Elephas maximus indicus: one gene and its partner. The protein of the gene in region 2 interacts with the protein of the main gene of each other region in a biochemical or structural test. Links are inferred from orthologs where the notes say so. Each region holds a gene or a part of one and is shown on either strand. Other genes may lie near its edges.

What was found.
Region 1: the proteins of COPB1 (region 2) and ARCN1 form a complex in vitro, tested with the Homo sapiens proteins (2 studies listed by BioGRID). The link is inferred for Elephas maximus indicus from reciprocal best matches to the Homo sapiens genes COPB1 and ARCN1.

What each region holds. Positions count from the first base shown.
Region 1 is NC_064835.1:11,058,878-11,068,503, reverse strand, and holds the start of ARCN1 (coatomer subunit delta), read right to left. Parts: upstream 3,564-9,626; 5' UTR 3,399-3,563; coding exon 3,396-3,398; intron 1-3,395. UniProt on the Homo sapiens protein: Component of the coatomer, a cytosolic protein complex that binds to dilysine motifs and reversibly associates with Golgi non-clathrin-coated vesicles, which further mediate biosynthetic protein transport from the ER, via the Golgi up to the trans Golgi network.
Region 2 is NC_064825.1:69,832,463-69,842,114, forward strand, and holds the start of COPB1 (coatomer subunit beta), read right to left. Parts: upstream 3,685-9,652; 5' UTR 3,567-3,684; intron 2,868-3,566; 5' UTR 2,816-2,867; coding exon 2,725-2,815; intron 677-2,724; coding exon 447-676; intron 1-446. Other genes in the region: PSMA1 (proteasome subunit alpha type-1), read right to left, coding at 8,539-8,595. UniProt on the Homo sapiens protein: The coatomer is a cytosolic protein complex that binds to dilysine motifs and reversibly associates with Golgi non-clathrin-coated vesicles, which further mediate biosynthetic protein transport from the ER, via the Golgi up to the trans Golgi network.

The DNA of each region.
Region 1 (9,626 bases), on a different chromosome or scaffold from region 2:
TGTGACAGAGTACAGTGCAACGGGATTTTCTTGGCTGTATCTTTTTTTTTTAATTGTACTTTAGGCGAAACTTTACAGCTCAAGTTCATCCCTTATACTTTTTATACACATATTGTCATGTGACACTAGCTGCAATCCCTACAATACTCTCCTTTCCACCCAGGGTTTCCTGTGTCCATCCAGTCAGTTCCTGTCCCTTCCTGCCTTCTCATCCTGCCTCTGGCGTGGAGCCACCTATTTGGTCTCCTGTATCTGGTTGAACTAAGCAGCACACTCTTCACGAGTATTATTTATGTTTTATAGTCCAGTGTAATCCTTGTCTGAAGAGTGGGCTTCGGGAATGGTTTTAGTTCCAGGTTAATAGTTTCCGAGGGCCATGGCCTTGGGGGTTCCTCCAGTCTCAGTCAGACCGTAAGTCTAGTCTTTTTATGTGAGTTGAGTTCTGTTCCACACTTCTCCACCTCAGTCAGGGACTCTCTGTTGTGTTCCTTGGCAGAGCCTAGCACCAGGCTGATTGGCTGTAATCTTGACAGGAGCAGATAGCCAGGATTTTCTCTCGCAGCCGTTGGTGGGTTTCAACTGCCCACCTTTTGGTTAGCAGCCAAGTGCTTAACCATTACACCACCAGGGCACCGTTAGATTAGCTATGCAAGGCCCAAATCTAGCTTTCCAATAACTAATGACTTTTTGGAACTGAATCTACTATCATTTCTATTTAATGCAACCACCACCATAAGTGGTTTTAGGAACACTAGGGTCCTAATGAGTAAGTTTACTAGTAAGTTTACTCACTGCCTATTCTGAGCAAATAAGAAAAGAACAACACTCTGTAGATAAGCAAAGATTTCACAGATGGCTTGCTACCATTAAAGACTTAAATAACAACTTTATGCGTTCAAATGTAAGTTTATTAAGAAAAAGAACTGATTATAACATTATCTAATGTTAAGAATATTTTCTCACTAATTTGCAAAAAACTAGAAAAAAGATCCAATCAAAAGATCCCATTATTTCATTTTCTAACAGCCATCATAAGCCACCTGCTTTTGCATTTGTTCACCTATATACTCAGACTGTGTAGTCTAGGGCATTCTGCATATACTTCAGTAACTAAGGCCCAAACCAAAAACCAAACCAAACCCACTGCCGCTGAGTCGACTGGAGCAGAATTTCCAAGGAGGAGCTGGTGGACTTGAACTGCTGGCTTTTTGGTTAGCAGCTGAGCTCTTAACCAAGGCTCCAACTAAAGCCAAAAGAAACACTTATTTTTCAAAACCAACTTTTATGTGCAGATATCTGCACCTTACTTTGAAATGCAGAAAAAAAGATGCATGGAGGGATGATTAAATGTGTGATAAAACAAGGAGGGTAAAATGCTGGTTATAGAATCTAGCTGGCAGACATATGGGTGTTCACTGTAAAGCCCTTTCAACTTTTCTTATGTTTGAAAATTTTATAATAAAATGTTGAGGAAAAAAAAATCAACTTTTAGAAGTTTTGATAGAACTTTTAGTTCAAAGAAGTCCTAACAATACAAGGACAAAATTTTACCCTATTTGGATATTTTTACTGTCATAAAGGAGGAGGATTCAAAGACACTGCACAGAAATAATGCCAATGTCTTAGGACTCTACAGAGCAGAATGGACTGAGATTAAGTTGTTCTCCCGAATATACAAATATGTGGGTATCTGAATCATGCCAATTCCCAAATAATTCAGAAATATATGAATATTTAAACAGGTCACAACTGTATGTATGTACACATATGTCAAAATAACATATAAAATGTATACTTTATTGAGTATACAAAATGTATTTTTACAAAATCTGTACAAAATTGTATGCTCAATACCTACGGCTTTACCATTCCTCAGTTATTGGTGAATTAAAACTACTAAGTTCCAATGACCTTTTAACAAGCAAGGTTTTTATACAGATTATCTATATTTGATTTATATAATACAAGGCTTTAACTTTGCTATTAAAAGTATATGCTCTAAAACGCACTACAAATACTTCCAGTGCGTAAAAGGAAAAGGAGTTTAAAAATCACTGTCTGGATACTAAGCCTCCTAGTAGAATTGAAAAAAAAAAAAAAAAAGTTTTTGGATATTTTGTGTGTAACACAAAAGTTCTATGAATCAAACCTTTCAGTGGTTTAAAACCCAAGCATGAATCCCAACACCACCCAGGTTTTCACCTAAAAAATTGTTGATAGCACTTACTATGAATAGCACCAAATTATACTGCCATCCTCAAGGAGTTAGGAAGATGCTTTAAAGCAAATTATTAATCTATTGGCAAAAAAAGAATTAAAAAAAAAAAAAAAAGAACGCCCTTTAAAAGACTGAAAGGCATAAGGTGCCCTAAAAAATTCTTCAGTAGCTTGTTTGGAACAGACTAATTTCTTCTACTTCATCAATGTCCACAAATCAGTAGTGATAAAGCAAGATTCAGTGGAATCAACATTGTCGTGTTTTGTCCTATTCTCACCTGCATTAATTTTTTCCATCTCTACAATGGATGAGAGCACAAAGATAATGCAACTAAAGGCTATGTAACAGGTCTCAGCGTAAGGCCCACCCAGCCCTTTACCCCTTGTCCTGTGAGACATCTAATCAATCATAAGCCACGTACATATTTTCTTCACCTGAACAATAAATGCCTTGAAGACAGAAATCCTGTCTTCCGGTAACTGACTGACATTTCCCCAGCGTACGCTCAGTCACAAAGACAAATGGATACAAGCAGGTTCTATAAAAGTGGTCGAAGTTTTCAGGAGCCCTAACCAAAAACCAAACCCAACCCAGTGCCGTCGAGTCGATTCCGACTCACAGGATCCTACAAATTAGTGTTAGAAGTTACTCCTCCCCGGTCTATGCCATTTCCCCCAATCGGACAAACCAAAGTCCTGAACACCAACCCATTTGTATTTCTACATCAATGGCCTATCAAACACCAGGGATGAGAGACAAGCTGAACACAGAAGGAAGAGAAGCCCCCTCAGGAGAGGCCTATGCTGCTGAGCCGAAGCGTCCACGGAAGCGACCCGGCAGTAGCGCCGAAGTCCGCAGCGCAGAGCCCAGAGGACATCGACGACAAGGTCCTCGCAGAGCCAAGACCCTGCCCCGTCCGAGCTGCCGGGTCTAGAGAAGAGTCCAGCCGGTTGGGGTGTGGGGAGGGTGCGACCACAGAGGGACTGGCGTCAACTCCCTCGGGCCTCCCGGAGGCCAAGAGCGGGGGTAGGCCACACCGCTGCCCGAGCCCGAGGAGGGCGCCTGGCTCGAGGCCCTAGGGGCGCGGCTCCTCTGGTCCCCGTACCAGCCCGGCCGGCAGTGAGAGGGGGCGAGTGAGGCCCAGACCCCGAGAGTTCGAGCCCGGCTTGGGTCTTACCATGGTGACGGCGGTGGTGGGGCGCACCCACGCTCCGGCTGCACTGGGCAGAGGGCTGGGGTTAGGGGAAGGGGAGCACCGGCCGCTCCGGACCTGCCGCCCCCCTGACAGGAGCCGCCGCCGCTTCGCTTCTTGCCAAGATGGCGGTCCCGAGCCACGTCTCCAACCGGAAACGGCGCGGGTCAAAGGACGGAGGGCGGGGCTTGGTGGGGTGGGGAAATTGAGGATACCCGGCTGCAAGCCCCACGCGCAGGTTACGTCCCGGCTCGCCTGCAGACGTGGAACTTGCATACATCTGTCTTTTCACTGTTTGTTATCGCCTCAGTTTGAGTCACCTCTGAAACATTTTATAAAGCCGCTCTCATAGACACTATATAATTTAATATTCAAAATAACCCATGTGCACAAGGCGCTAGTATCCAAAATATATAAAGAATTCTTATAACTCAACAATAAAAAGACAACACAATTTAAAAATGGGCAAAAGGTTTGAAGAGACATTTCTTCAAAGAAGAGATACAAATGGCCAATAAGCACATGAAAAGGTGCTCCATATCTATAGTCATTAGTGAAATGTACATCAAAACCACAACTAGCTATGACTTCACCCCTACTAGAATGGTTACATTAAGAAAGATGGACAATAGCAAGTGTTGTGGAGGATATGGAGAAATTAAAATCCTCCTACAATGATGGCTTTGAATTATTATGTAGGCAAAGAATATTGAATGTACCATGGATTGCCAGAAGAACAAACAAATCTGTCTTGGAAGAAGTACAGCCAGAATGCTCCTTAGGAGCAAAGATGGCAAGACTTTGTCTCACGTACTTTGGACATGTTATCAGGAGGGACCAGTCCCTGGAGAAGGACATCATGCTTGGTAAAATAAACCAAAACCCATTGCCATCGAGTTGATTCTGACTCATAGTGACCGTATGGTAAAGTAGAGGGTCAGTGCTGAATGATATGGAGTGACACAGTGGCTACAACAATGGACTCAAACATAGCAACAATTGTGAGGGTGGAGCAGGACTGGGCAGTGTTTCCTTCTCTTGTATGTAGGGTCAGTCTGAGTTCGAATCAACCCCACAGCACCTAACAACAACACCACCACACATTGCTAGTTGGAATATAAAATAGGGTAGCTGCTTTGGAAAACAGGTCCTCAAAAAGTTAAACAGAGTTACCATGTGATCCAGCAATTCCATCATATGTCCACACAAAAATTTGTACACTAATGTTCATGGCATCATATAGCCCAAAAGTGGAAAACCCCAAATGTCCATTAACTGATAATTGGGTAAAAAAAGTGACATATCCATACAATGGAATATTATTCAGCCGCAAAAAGGTATGAAGTACTGATACATGCTACAGCATGGCTGAACTTTGGAAATATACTGAGTAAAAAAAGCCAGGCACAAAATAGCCACTTATTGTATGATTCCATTTGTATGACATGTCCAGAATAAACAAATTCATAGAGACAGAAAGTAGATTAGTGGTTGCAAGAGGTGGGAGTGAGGTGAGATGGGGGTGGAGACTGGGAATTAATGCTGATGGGTACAAGATTTGAATGAAAATGTCCCAGAATTAGGTAACAGATGGCGGCTGCACAACCTTGCCAAATATACTAAAAATCATTGAATTGTACGCTTTAAAATGGTGAGGTTTTTCTTGTGTGTGTGCGTGTGCTTTAGGTGAAAGTTTATAGAGCGAATTAATTTCTCATTTGTTTTGTGACATTGGTGGCCAACCCCAAGATGTACCAACACTCTCCGCTTCTCCATCCTGGGTTCCCCATTTCCATTCATCCAATTTTCCGGTCCCTTCCTGCCCTCTGTCTTTGTTTTTGGGCTGGTGTGCGCATTTAGTCTGGTACATGTGATTGAACAGAACAAGAGGATACTGATCGGTTTAAAGTCAGGAAAGGTGTGCGTCAGGGTTGTATTCTTTCACCACACCTATTTAATCTGTGTGCTGAACAAATAATACGAGAAGCTGGACTATATGAAGAAGAACGGGGCATCAGGATTGGAGGAAGACTCATTAACAACCTGCGTTATGCAGGTGACACAACCTTGATTGCTGAAAGTGAAGAGGACCTGAAGCACTTACTAATGAAGATCAAAGACCACAGCCTTCAGTATGGATTACACCTCAACATAAAGAAAACAAAAATCCTCACAACTGGGCCAATGAGTAACATCGTGATAAATGGAGAAAAGATTGAAGTTGTCAAGGATTTCATTTTACTTGGATCCACAATCAGCAGCCATGGAAGCAGCAGTCAAGAAATCAAAGGACACATTGCATTGGGTAAATCTGCTGCAAAGGACCTCTTCAAAGTGTTGAAGAGCAAAGATGTCACCCTGAAGACTAAGGTGCGCCTGACCCAAGCCATGGTATTTTCGATGGCATCACATGCATGTGAAAGCTGGACAACGAATAAGGAAGACCGAAGAAGAGTTGACGCTTTTGAATTGTGGTGTTGGCGAAGAGTATTGAATACACCATGGACTGCCAAAAGAACGAACAAATCTGTCTTGAAAGAAGTGTGGCCAGAATGCTCCTTAGAAGCAAGGATGGCGAGACTGCGTTTTACATACTTTGGACATGTTGTCAGGAGGGATCAGTCCCTGAAGAAGGACACAATGCTTGGCAGAGTACAGGGTCCGCAGAAAAGAGGAGGACCCTCAACGAGGTGGATTGACACAGTGGCTGCAACAACGAGCTCAAGCATAACAACGATTTTGAGGATGGCGCAGGACCGGGCAGTGTTTCGTTCTGTTGTGCATAGGGTTGCTATGAGTCGGAACCGACTGGGCGGCACCTAACAACAACAATGTGATTGTACTACGAAGCACTTTCCTCGAATGTGTTATTGTTTACTCTATAAACCAAACCTGTTGTCACTGAGTCGATTCCAACGCCTAGTAACCCTAAGGACAGAGTAGAACTGCCCCATAGGGTTTCCAAGGAGCACCTGGTGGATTCGAACTGCTGACCTTTTGGTTAGCAGCAGTAGCTCTTAACCACTATGCCACCAGAGCTGAAAGGTGAACCTCAGGAGTGACTTCAGTACTGGGTTAAAAAGGTGTCAGAGGCCATAGTCTCAGGGGGTTCGCCAGTCTCTGTCAGACCAGCAAATCTGGTCTTTTTTGTGAATTTGAATTTTGTTCTACATTCTTCTCCTTCTCTATCCAGGACACTCTATTGTGATCCCTGTCAGAGTAGTCTGTGGTGGTAGCTGGGTACCATCTAGTAGTTCTGGGCTTAGTTTGCTGGAGGTTATGGTAGTTGTTGTCCATTAGTCCTTTGTACTAATCTTTCCCTGTGTCTTCAGTTTTCTTCATTCTCCATTGCTCCAGCCAAGATGGAACCAATAGATGTATCTTTCATGGCCGCTTGCAGTCTTTTAAGACCCCAGACACTTCTCACCACAGTCAGATGTAAACATTTTCTTTATAAACTATGTTATGCCAATTGAGCTAGATGTCCCCTGAGACTATGGTCCCCACCCTCAGCCCAGTAACTTGGTCCCTCAGAGAGTTTGGATGTATCTGTGAAGCTTCTATGTCTTTGCCTTGGTCAAGTTGTACTGACTTCCCCAGTATTGCGTACTGTTTTACCCTTCCCCAAAGTTACCACTTATCTATTATCTAGTCAGTGTTTTTCCCTCCCCACCTCTCCCCTCCCTCAGAACCATCAAAGATTGTTTTGTTTGTTTTTTTCTGCACGTAAACCTTTTCTTGAGTTTTTATAATAGTGGTCTTCTACAATATTTGTCCTTTTGTGATTGACTTATTTCAGTCAGCTTAATGCCCTCCAGATTCATCCATGTTATGAAATGTTTCGAGGATTCATCATTGTTCTTTATCATTGGGTAGTACTCCATTGTGTGTATGTACCATAATTTGTTCACTCATCCATTGATGGGCATTTAGGTTGTTTTCATCTGTTTGTTATTGTGAAAATGCTGCAATGAACATGGGTGTGCATAGTCATGTGACAGCTCTTATTTCTCTAGGATATATTCCTAGGAGTAGAACTTCTGGATCATACAGTATCTCTATTTATAGCCTTTTAGTGAGGTGCCCTATCATTTTCCATAGTGGTTGTACCATTTTACATTCCTACTAGCAGTGCGTAAGAGTTGAAGTCTCCCCAAAACCTCTCCAACATTTGTTATTTTCTGTTTTTTTTTTTTTTTAAATTAGTGCCAGTAATGTCGGGGTGAGATAGTATCTCATTTCAGTTTTGATTTGTATTTCTCTGATGGCTACTGATCTCGAGCATTCCCTCCTGTGTCTGTTACTCACCTGAATGTCTTCTGTGGTGAAGTGTCTGTTCATATTCTTTGCCCATTTTTTACATTGGGTTATTAGTCTGTTTTCTTTTTTTTTAGATGAAGGTTTAGAGAACAAACTAGCTTCTCATTAAACAGCTAGTACACATATTGTTTTATGACATTGGTTAACAGCCCCACAACATGTCAACACTCTCCCTTCTCGATCTTAGGTTCACTATTACCAGTTTTCCTGCCCCTTCCTACCTTCTAGTCATTGCCCCTGGGCTGGTCTCATTTTGCTTTATGGGCCTGTCTAATCTTTGGCTAAGGGGTGAACCTCAGGATTGCCTTAATTATTGAGCTAAAAGGGTGTGCAGGGGCCATACTCTAAGTTTCTAGTAAACCTGGTCTTTTTTGTGTGAGTTAGAATTTTCTTCTACATTTTTCTCCAGCTCTATCTGGGACCCTCTGTTGTTATCCCTGTCAGAGCAGTCAGTGGTGGTAGCCAGGCACCTCCTAGTTGCACTGGAATCATGGTAGTGATGATCCCTTAGTCCTTTGGACTAATCTTTCCCTTGTATCTTTAGTTTTCTTAATTCTCCCTTGCTCCCAACTGAGTGAGACCAGTGGAGTATCTTAGATGGCTGCTCACAGCTTTTAAGATCCCAGACGCTACTCCCCAATGCAGAATATACAACATTTTCTTTATAAACTATGTCATGCTCTTACCGAAACCCCTACCTCAGTCGAACCCAACCAGATTCACACCACCTAGTAAGACTAGTGAGACAGCCTGGAGTCACACCAGCAAATTTATTTTGCCAGCAGCTAGCAAAAGGAGACAGTAAGGGCTAGAACCTTCAGAGCGACTGTCTCCCTAATTTGCCTAAGAGCCAGGTATTTAAGGGTTTCAACAACTAGGGGTCTTGGTGTTTATTCATGACGTTTTCAGGGAAAGGGCAGAGATTTTTGAGAAGGGACTGAGTTATGTAAATGCGGGTGCGCACACAGGATTTCTTCAGGATGGAAGCCCTTTGGCTCCCCTTGACATGACTCATTGGGATGTGACACCAGTGCACTGGTTCCCTTCGTCACATTGCCCCTCCAGTGGGCCAGGGAAGGTCAAACAGCAGTCGCTATTACTTCTTTTGTGCATGCTCTGCACCTGTGGAGACCTGCAAGAGCTACATCAACAGTTTATTTGCAACATCCTAGAATATTTCAGTTAATTTCACCCCACAGCTGGAACATTTAACCCCACAGGGCCTGTGTGTTCTGTTCTAATCTCCAGGAGGTAGGTTATGGTTGCACCACTGCCAGTAGGTCGGGCTGTTTATTCTATAGTCTGTCCTGTTTGACCTTCTCCCAGCCTATGTGCCAGGGGCCCAAGTGGCCCTGCTCTAGCCTAATCCTGTCTCATTCGCCTCTGAGAGATTTCATAAAAAAAAAAAAAAAAAAAATTTTTTTTTTTTAAGTCTTTAGGAGAGAGTGAGGATGGAGATCTCTTCTTCTGTAACTGCTTCAAGATGACATTTGGTTGTTCGCCTGCCTAAAGGAGTAGAAATCTCTCTATGTCTGATTCAGCCTACCGTGAGAGACAGATGGGTCTTCGCTAGATATGGCCTGTAACACCATAAGTTTGACCTGAAATTGTTGGAGTCTTTTCATAATGAATCACAGGAGGAGTTTGAAAATGCAGGGCCCGAAAATTAAGAAAAACAGGATTACAGTCAGAAAGCCTAACAAAGGGAGGAACCAGGACTAGGAGGGTAGATAATTTTTGATCTGGTTCCAAACGGAACTGGCCAAATTTTTTCTGGTCTCTCTTAGCCATGTGGCCTTCTCAAGTAAATTTCGGGCTCTCAATTCTACCTCCCTGGAGGAATTGATGTACATGCAGCAGGAGGTGTTTGCTGTTGCGTACACCCCGCCTTGTTTG
Region 2 (9,652 bases):
CTGATATAAAAATTTAAATATGAAATGGTGAGTTTTGGCTTTTTACAAAATAAAACTCCACTTTTTAAATAGAAAAATTTCCATTGAAAAAATCAGAACATAGGTTTGAGGAAAAAGACCTACATTATCAGACAGCTTCCTTCAGATTCCTGTCGATTAAAGCGGTTTTTACCTATGTTATCAATGTCTTCTATTCTATGTGTCACTGTTTTTTATTAATAACACATATACATAAAAATACATAGAAAAAACAATTAGAACATTTTACAGTAACTATAACTTTCATATATAAAAACATTTTAAACAATTTCGATTATCTGCAACTTACCATTTTATTCAAGATTTAATTTTAAAAATTAAAACAAAGTATATTTGATTTTAGATAATTTTATAATTATCTAAAATCAAAGCAATATTCAGAAATAATTATACATTGGCTGGTTTACCTTTCTATATGCATCACAAACAAGGATCATTTCATGTAAAAGTCTCCCATCTGGAGTTGTTTTAGGAACAATTTCCCAAAACACCAGGAGTAATTTTTTGATGGTGTGATCCTGAAGTGGGAGCACAAAACGAATGATTGTCATCAGAAGTCCAGGAAGCTTTTCACCATTCAGAATCATTATGATTACTTTCTTCAAAGCTTCAGTCTTTGACTTCACATCTCCTTTTTCTAATTCAAAAATTAAAAATGAAACAAAAAACACAATTATTTTGAAAGAAAATTCCTCAAATAATTTTAAAAGCAATTAAGAAAACATTTTACTTTGTTAGAGACAACGGTCATAAAGGTACTGACCCAAGGGATATGGGTTATCTACCTTGCTTTGCCACGAATAGGCTGTGTATCTCGGCACAAGTTATTTATCTCTGAACCTCAGATTCTTTAAATAAAATATGAAGACACTGATCAGCTCTCTAGTCCCTAATCAATGGGCCATGCAGAGTCCATGAATCTACAGGAATACCGGGAATATATGTCTCAAACACACATGTGGTTATTTTTCAAAATGTATATAGATGCTGTTATGTTAAGTGCTTCTGAATTCAACGCAGTTTTTTTACCAGTGTACTATCTCAAAGTTGCAACCATTACTAACAGGGGAAAATAATACATACGGATTAAAAGTAATGAGATTCAAAGTAAAAGGTAAATAGTTAAAGCAACCCAATATTTCACCAAACAAAAATATATTTGTTACTCAATACTAGAAACTTGCCCTAAAATTCTTTCTCATCTCAATTATCTGAGCTAAAGGAAATAAAAAACACAAAATTTGAGACTACTTATTTATTTATGGGTTGGGGAGGGTAGTTAAGGCAGATGGAATTAAGGATATTATTCCAATTCCAAGCAAGATTTTGTTCTTTACCAGTCCAGCTATAACTTTAAGCATTCTAGGCATCTAGTGATGAAAACTTTTACTACCAAACGTGAATGGTTAAAAAAAAAAAAAAAATGTGACTTTTGTGTATAATGGTATCAGTTTAAGTGTCATAAAAGACGGTTTCTTTTCCCGAAAAATAACCCAAAAAACCAAACCCAGTGCCGTCGAGTCAATTCTGACTCACAGCGACCCTATAGGACAAAGTAGAACTGCCCCATAGTTTCCAAGGAGCACCTGGCGGATCTGAACTGCCGACCTTTGGTTAGCAGCTATAGCACTTAACCACTATGCCACCAGGGTTTCCTCCCTAAAAACAGACTGCAATTAAAGAAAAAAAAAAACACTGCCCTCGAGTGGATTTCAACTCATAGTGACCCTACGGGACAGAGCAGGACTGTCCTGTAGAGTTTCCAGTGAGTGTCTGGTGGATTTGAACTGCCAACCTTTTGGTTAGCAGCTGTAGCTCTTAACCAGTATACGCCACGAGGATATCCAGATTGCAACAGAAATCTAATATAAAGTAGCCTAAAATTAGGAGATATTCCACTACTGCTGAGTAAAAGGTGGAAATAAGCCAGTAAAATATTAAGTCTTTTATCAAACTGCAAACTACATTCTGAAAGATACCTTCAGGTTTTGAAATATAATTTTCACTCTACTGTTTGGTAGTTATCAGTTTAAGATATATGTGTTTAGTAGTTCAATTAAACAAGGATCATTACCTTAGAATGTGCATTACTTCTCAAAATTTTTTTTCTTTATGGACTCACTCACAAATAGGAAACAGTATATACTTTTAGGTTTGTGTTTTCTTCTGTGCAGAATACTTTTTAAAAGGAAAAGCTTAACCTTTCTGGGAAATACATTTTTATTCCATTATTGACTTTATTGGTTCAGCAAGTGGGAAACCCACAGAATAAAGTCCTTTTGGTTTTATAATTCAAGTGACGTGTAGTTTAATTTCCCAAAGGAATTAAGACATTCAAATACACATTATCAGCCTATTATCTACAGACCACTGCCTGATACATTTAAGTATAATATGCTTAACTGCATAAGGCTATTATGTTATTTTGAGGAATATCTAACAACTAAACCATTATGTTTCTTTAGCTTTTACTAAACTGAAATGTTCTACTTCAAAATCCAATATTGCAAGTCTAAAGGTCACAACTTTTCATTTTAAATAAGACAAAAGGTCTACCAAAGAGATTCTACAACGAAATATTCAGACAAAATTAAGCATTTCTAATTATAAAGGAACTTAGAACGCAAATTAGTTTTCACTATCCTTTCTTTTCCATTTCATTTTCAAAATATTACTAAAATTCACCTAGATCATTCTTTAAGCTAATTTCCGATGGTGGTTCTGAATCCATTGGCACGTTAATTAACGTATAGCACACGTTCTCAGCAGCTGTCATGATTTCAGGTTATAATCGACCCTCGATACAAAATTTAAAGAAGGTAGAAAATCTAGAAAAATAAATACAGGATATCATTACACTGTAAAAAACAAAAACAATAACTACTGTGATCTTTACTGTCTAAAGTTCATTTAGTTTGGCTTATAACTTTAAAATATTAAAAGGGGAAGTCAATCTATACTGTGTTTCCATAAAACAAGTCCTAATATAATACAAAACGCACCTGTCAGCCCCAGCCTGTTTATTATCCCCCCCCCCCCCCCCACGGCTTGAGAATGCTGTACTGCAGAATTAAGGTCCACAATATATTGCCAGTCCTCTAGTTCCATCTCACCAACTCACAAACAGTGATTTTTTACATTTTATACAATAGACCTGTTCACGTTAAGAGCCCCTGTACACGAACACTACATCAAAATCTTAAAGCACTTAATCGCTTCTGTCGGTCCCTCAATCCCTGCGCTGCACCCCCGCCCCCACCCCACGCCCCCTTTTTCTTTTCCTCCTGCAAAGCAGATTCTGGCTTGAAAGGGCGAACTTCGGGGTCCTAGGGAGAAGACCCCCGGCCAGTAAGCAAACCGGGATGAGGCGTTCGGTCCAGAGCTCCCCAGCCCCCCGTTCCCCTTCGCAAGGCCCCGACCCGAGCGGCCTAGTCGCTCCCCTTCCGCATCTTCCTGCTAGAAAGCCAGTTCTTCCAGCTCTGTCCGGCCCTCCACGCCTCCAGGGTTGGGGGCCAGTGGCCTGCTACCTGGCTTTGAGGGGCAGCAGCTGGGGCAACGGCGGGACCGTCTATTCCGGTTCCAAACCGCGGCAGCGGCGGCAGCTCCCGAGTCCTTGGCTGACGTGGAAGAGGGCGGGGAGGCGGTCCAGGCCGCAGCCACCTAGCACCTACGGCAGCCCAGAGAGGACATGCCTTCTCCGTCCTGCAGATGCGCGCCGCAAGTGGGTCCGGCTCTAGCCCCCGCCCCTTGTCCGCGGATGATTCAGGTCGCCGAGAGTGGTAGCAGATACTTTGAGTTTTCCCTACAAGCAAAGCTAAACCGAGCGCTATGGTCACTTAAACGCTACTTGGAAATTGTTTCTTTTTCCGGGAAGTGTAATAGCCAAGTGCTAGATAGGGGAGATATTTTACAAGGTTTTGTGGTCCGGTGGATAAAGCTCTGAACTGGGAACTGGAAGCCCAAGAGTCTTTTCTAACTCACCCATTAATTAGAGGGAAACTAATTACTATTTGGGATAGTAACTCCAGTTCTTCTAATAAGAAACACTAGATTTTCTCGAAAATCCATTTCGGCTCTTAAAATGTACTCTGGATCTTAGCCTCTGCATTTGGGCTAGAGTAGCTTGAACATCAAAATCCCATTGATAATGTTTCTGCTCTCTTTATTTAGTAATAGTCCTTTTCGTAATCCCTTCCAAGCATCCAGTAGATTAAAATTATGGAAACTATGTATAACGTGGGACTGACAGTCAATATTTTAAAAATATTTTACCAATCTCCACAGATTGGTAGAGCTACGATCAGCCACAGCACTTTTGGTTTTGCTCGTTTGAGGTTCCTTTTTTTTTTTTACCCCGCCCCCCCCAAAAATTTTTCCCCGCAAATTGTTAACAAGTAAACATTGAGAGGCTTTTACAAAACATTCAAAGAGATTTGACAGAACCTGTCCTTGTAGTGCTGCATCTATCTAGAATCTGTCTATTTTGAGATTTCTCCTTTTGGAAACATTAAGCAAAAAATAAATTCTTTGAGCACCCAAAATATGTCACGAAGTCTATGTGTTCACTGCACTTTAATTACGAGTGCCCTCTGATGCTGTGTATTCATTTTTTTTTTTTAAGCTCTTTATCTTGAGATGATCCACATGTGGCTGTAAAATAACAGAGATCCCATATACCCTTCACCCGAATCCAGGAAGTTGGCTTTGATACAATCTACCCATCCTTATTGATTTCACCAGCTTTACATGCACTCATTTGTGTATTTAGTTCTATACACTTTTATCAAGTTTAGATTCATTTAACCACTACCACAGTCAAGATAGAGGAAAGTTCCATGACAAGGATCCCTCTTGGTACCCTTTCACAGCCAGTCACCTCCCCCTCTACCTTTGTCCCTAACCCGTCACAGCCACTAACATGTTCTCTATCTCTATAATTGTCATTTCAAGGATGTTATATAAATGGAATCATACAGTGTAACCTTTTGAGTCTATTTTGACTCAGCATAATTCCTTTGAGCTCCATCCAAGATGTATCAATAGTCCTTTCCTTTTCTGTGTATTTAACATAGAATCCTTACAAATGCAGTTATTTTGTCCCCAATCCTATTTGATTTGGCAACAAGTGACAGTCTGTCAGCAGAAAATTAGTGCTCCCCCCAAAAAACAAAACAAAACAAAACAAAAAACTAGACTCAGCAATAAGAAAGCTCAGGAGTTTGAAGCCACCTATAGTACAGAACCAACCATACCCACTTCAGATGCCCAAGGCTCATTTTGTTACAGAATAAAGCATGACATTTATCGAGGTGAGCCCTAGTCATTAAGGAAACTAAATATGAAAAGGCAAGAAAATGTAATATATCTTATAAAACTTTATTTTAGGTCTACACCTAAAGTTGGCTTGGACAGTGCATTTTTTTTTCCTTGAATACAGCCCTTGTCGAAGTTATCAGGACCTTATATGGCCTCGCTAATTCTTTTCCTGATACAACATGCACTTTGTTTTGAGACTTTTTATCCTAGCAAGTAATTACAGGATTTTGAATGCTTTTCTAGTTACAAATTATTTGAGAGCAAAGATCTTGTCATATTTCAAAAATCGTAATAATTTAGATGTCTAGGAAATTGACGCTTAGAGAGAAGTGACTCTCCCAAAAATCACAGTGGTTAAACACTGAAAAAGCTAGACCCAGAACCTGACCCTATTACCTACTTTAGTGCCTTTTATTTTTAACCATGCCAGTTCTTCAGAGCTGCACATATAAATGTTCACCAAATTCTTGGTGAACTGATTATCTTTACATCAAGGGGATAGGTTTTATGTATCATCTAATTGTTGACAGAGGGGACATTATCAGGAATTTTATTGTTTATAATTACTCAATACAGATTAAATAGAATAACTTTGAGTATTAACAGACTAGACACACAACACGAAAGGGCACCACAATGAATTTTGTACATATGGTATAGCTGAATATTATTGGGGTGGGGAGGATTTTAAGTTCTAGAGTCACTGGATAAGAACAAAATCACGTAGTATAAAAGATTACTAAAACTGCCCCTGAAGTACAATACAGATCACTGTTTTTTTTTTTTTTGTATTGTTTTCTTTTCAGCTGAGCACCGAAAAGTACAAAAAAAAAAAAAAAAACACAAAAGATGCACACACATATAGTCTTTATCTTTAAAAATAGAATCACTCAGCAAAGGCAGACACTCTCACAATGAAAGGCACAAGGGACATGAGACCTTGCTAAGGAAAAGAGATTATTAAACTTCCCACTTATACTCTTCTCCAGGCTGTAATCTCATTTTGGCAATGATGGCGGTGGAAAGAGTCCCTTTCCTTCACTAGTTATTTCTGTGTGTGTGTGTGAAAGTTGCACATGCTTGATGTTGGTTGTAGATCAAATGGCCACATGGTACCTGTGGCCTAGTCCCAAGCTTAAGTGGCAGACTGATAACCCTTGAGGCTACTTCTAGAGTAGAGGCCAACATCTCACCAATTCCAGTATAGTAAGAGGTCTTTCTCTCAGCAAGGCAGCCACTGATTCTCTCACCACACTCCCTTTAAGAAGTCAGAGACTTAAACTCACTAAAGTTTTTAAAATTTTGAGCAACCTGAAAAAAAAATTTAACATTTTACTAACTTTAGAGTTCACAAAACATTTTCACATAAATTCTCCTGTCTAATCTTCACAACCGAAACCCTTGTGGCATAGTGGTTAAGTGCTACCACTGCTTACCAAGAGGTCAGCAGTCAAATCCACCAGGTACTCCTTGGAAACTATGGGGCAGTTCTACTCTGTTCTATAGGATCTCTATGAGTTAGAATCGACTCGACAGCAGTGGGTTTTTTGTTTTAATCTTCGCAGTAATTCTCCAGGGTTTCCTTAAAATAGGGCTAAGTAACCTGCCCAAAGCCAATAGCAGCTAATTGGTAGAATTGGGATTAAAATCCAGGTTCCTATCTATAAACAAACATCTCCTCTCTAAAAAATGTAATATCTCAGAAAAAATAACTCCTCTATGCCTCTTGGCACAGTGGTTAAAGTGCTTGGCTGCTAACTAAAGGGTGGGTGGCTTGAAACCACCATTGGCTCAGTAGGAGAAAGATGTGGCAGTTTGCTTCCATAGAGACTTACAGCCTTGGAAACCCTATGGAGTTGGTATGAGTGGAATCTACTTGATGGCAGTGGGCAGTGGGTATGCCTCTTAGCCAGAGGCCTAATTGGGGGGGCGGTGGTCACAGGTAGGGTATGTGCCCTGGGTGGCCTGTGCTTGCCCTGGGCACCCGTTGAGGCAGAGGGACAGTTAGCAGTTTCTATTGGCCATCACAGATTCCATCGCAAGCTGAGAGATCATTCAGCAATTTAACACTAATTACCCTAGGTCCTATTTTTTGTAACTTTGCTTTTAGCAGCAAAAGTTTTGTATCGTTGATTTTTTCACAAAAGTCACATTTCCTCTAATTTGCAAAAAATATAAGTTATTCTGCAATATCTGGGTATGTAGCTCATAGGCAGGGATGGAGTACCTGATAAGCAAGGTTTAATTGTGCTTCTTTACTAATCTGTAGTGTACAATGTCACCTGGCTTTTGAAAACCAGTGAAACTGTGCACTACAGATTAGTAAGCACAATTAAGCCCCTGCATACCTTGCTTAATGTCCCTTGCTTACCGCAAGCTGGTGCATACCGTGCTTACTGGTTAATCTGCCCTGCTCATGGGAATGATGGGAAGGCAGTCCGAATACTATGCTGGAGTGGGGCTAGAAGGATGAGGAAATGATGGTTTTAGATTAAAATTTCCATTTTATTTTTGTACTAGTTGGCTACACTGAAATCAGAGCTATCACTACTGCCATCTGCTGGTTGAAAAGAAAAGCAGCTCATATGTTAATAATCTTGGTACATTTGTTAGGAAGTGGTAGTTTCTTAGGCTTTAATTAAGAATTTGTATTATGAACCATATATCCAGAGATTCTCATGCAGCCAGTCCATACATTGGGAAATTGTTTTAAGTCTGTGATAGATAGGAAGTATTATTTTTCCACATCACTAAAAAGAAGGTAATTTAATTTGGCAAACATGGCAAATACCAGTTGTAATCCCAGACTACTATTTACAGTTGAAGCTACTTAAAAAATAAACAAACAAAAATAAAATACCCAATACACCAGAAAGTGAAACAATTTTATTTCATAGTTGTCTTTGAAACCACAAAGACACTATGTTCTTCATATAAAAACATTAGTACAGGTACCCTATACTTTCTAGAAAATGATTATATAGGCCCTCTCAAAGAAAAAATGAACCCCATCACATGGTTTCAATTAGGTTGTTTGCAAAAAGCTCACATCTGGACTGATTCCTAAAACATACCATTCTACAACTCTGCATCTTTTGATTCTTAAAGTACAGATTACTGTCACCCAGTTCTCTTCCTGCATTCTTACATATTTGATGATACATATATAGACTGCTTTATCACTTAATGTTCCATCGGTTCATCAGCCTTTTCTGCAGGTTCATCAGAAGGTTGAGCAGGCTTAAGAGGGGAAGAAAAAAGAAAATATGTTAAAACAAACAAACAAAAAATACTTGCATGATCAACAGGTACTTCTAATCACAAATATTATAAGAATTATATAAAAATTATTTCTTAAATACTTTTTTTAAAAGGGGGTTGGGGATATTTCGGATATGCGATTTCAGTTCATTATCCTGCAAAATTTCTGAACAAAGGCTTTTCAAAATAGATATAATTACAGCTCTGAAAATCTAAATATCGTTGAATAATTCCAGCATTTTATCACACTTCACTCTTGCTCAAGAGTAGAGGCCTTCCTTATAGTATCACTATTAGCACTAAAATACAATCAGCACTTTTTGGATATTCTTACGCCCTCCACCACCAATCAACACAGCACAAATACCATCAAGTAAATCAGCTGTGTGGCACTCAACACCCTTCACAAACAACGATAGTTCACATAACCAACAGCAATTTAAATAATCCAAATAATACCAACAACATCCTTTTCAAGTTGAAAAAACTCATGCTGTAGAAGAAATTTCTGCACAGTATACTTTTTTATTTTCAATTATACAACTATCAAGTAAGCACCTATAAGTAGCAAGTGTGTATTCTAAACATCCACCAAGACCCCTATTTAACCTGAAGTTCACAAACACTTCCTGAACCTTTTTCTCAGTTTTTATGAAGAGCCAACTTAAGCATCCAAAGCTGGTTCTCAGCTAATCATTTCTCGTCTCCACCCAAATCAAATCTGGGCTAGCCCTGTGACTAGCTTTAGCCAAGAGAATGTGCAGAAGTGATGCTGTGCTAGTCCTCAGCCTCACATGAAAAAAGCCTGGCAGCTTTCACTTTTGAACTTTTGCAAGCCCTGAGCTGTCATGTAAGACCAGCTACCCTGCTATAGAAAAAAAAAAAAAAAAAAAACCTGGTGAAAGAGAGGTCCTGAGATGAGGCCCAGCCACTTACAGCTGAGGTCTCAGCCTTCTAGCTGCCCCTTTAAGGCACCAGACATGTAAGTAAAGCTGTCTTGGACATTCTAGTCTCATCCCCCAATCTGTCGGCAACA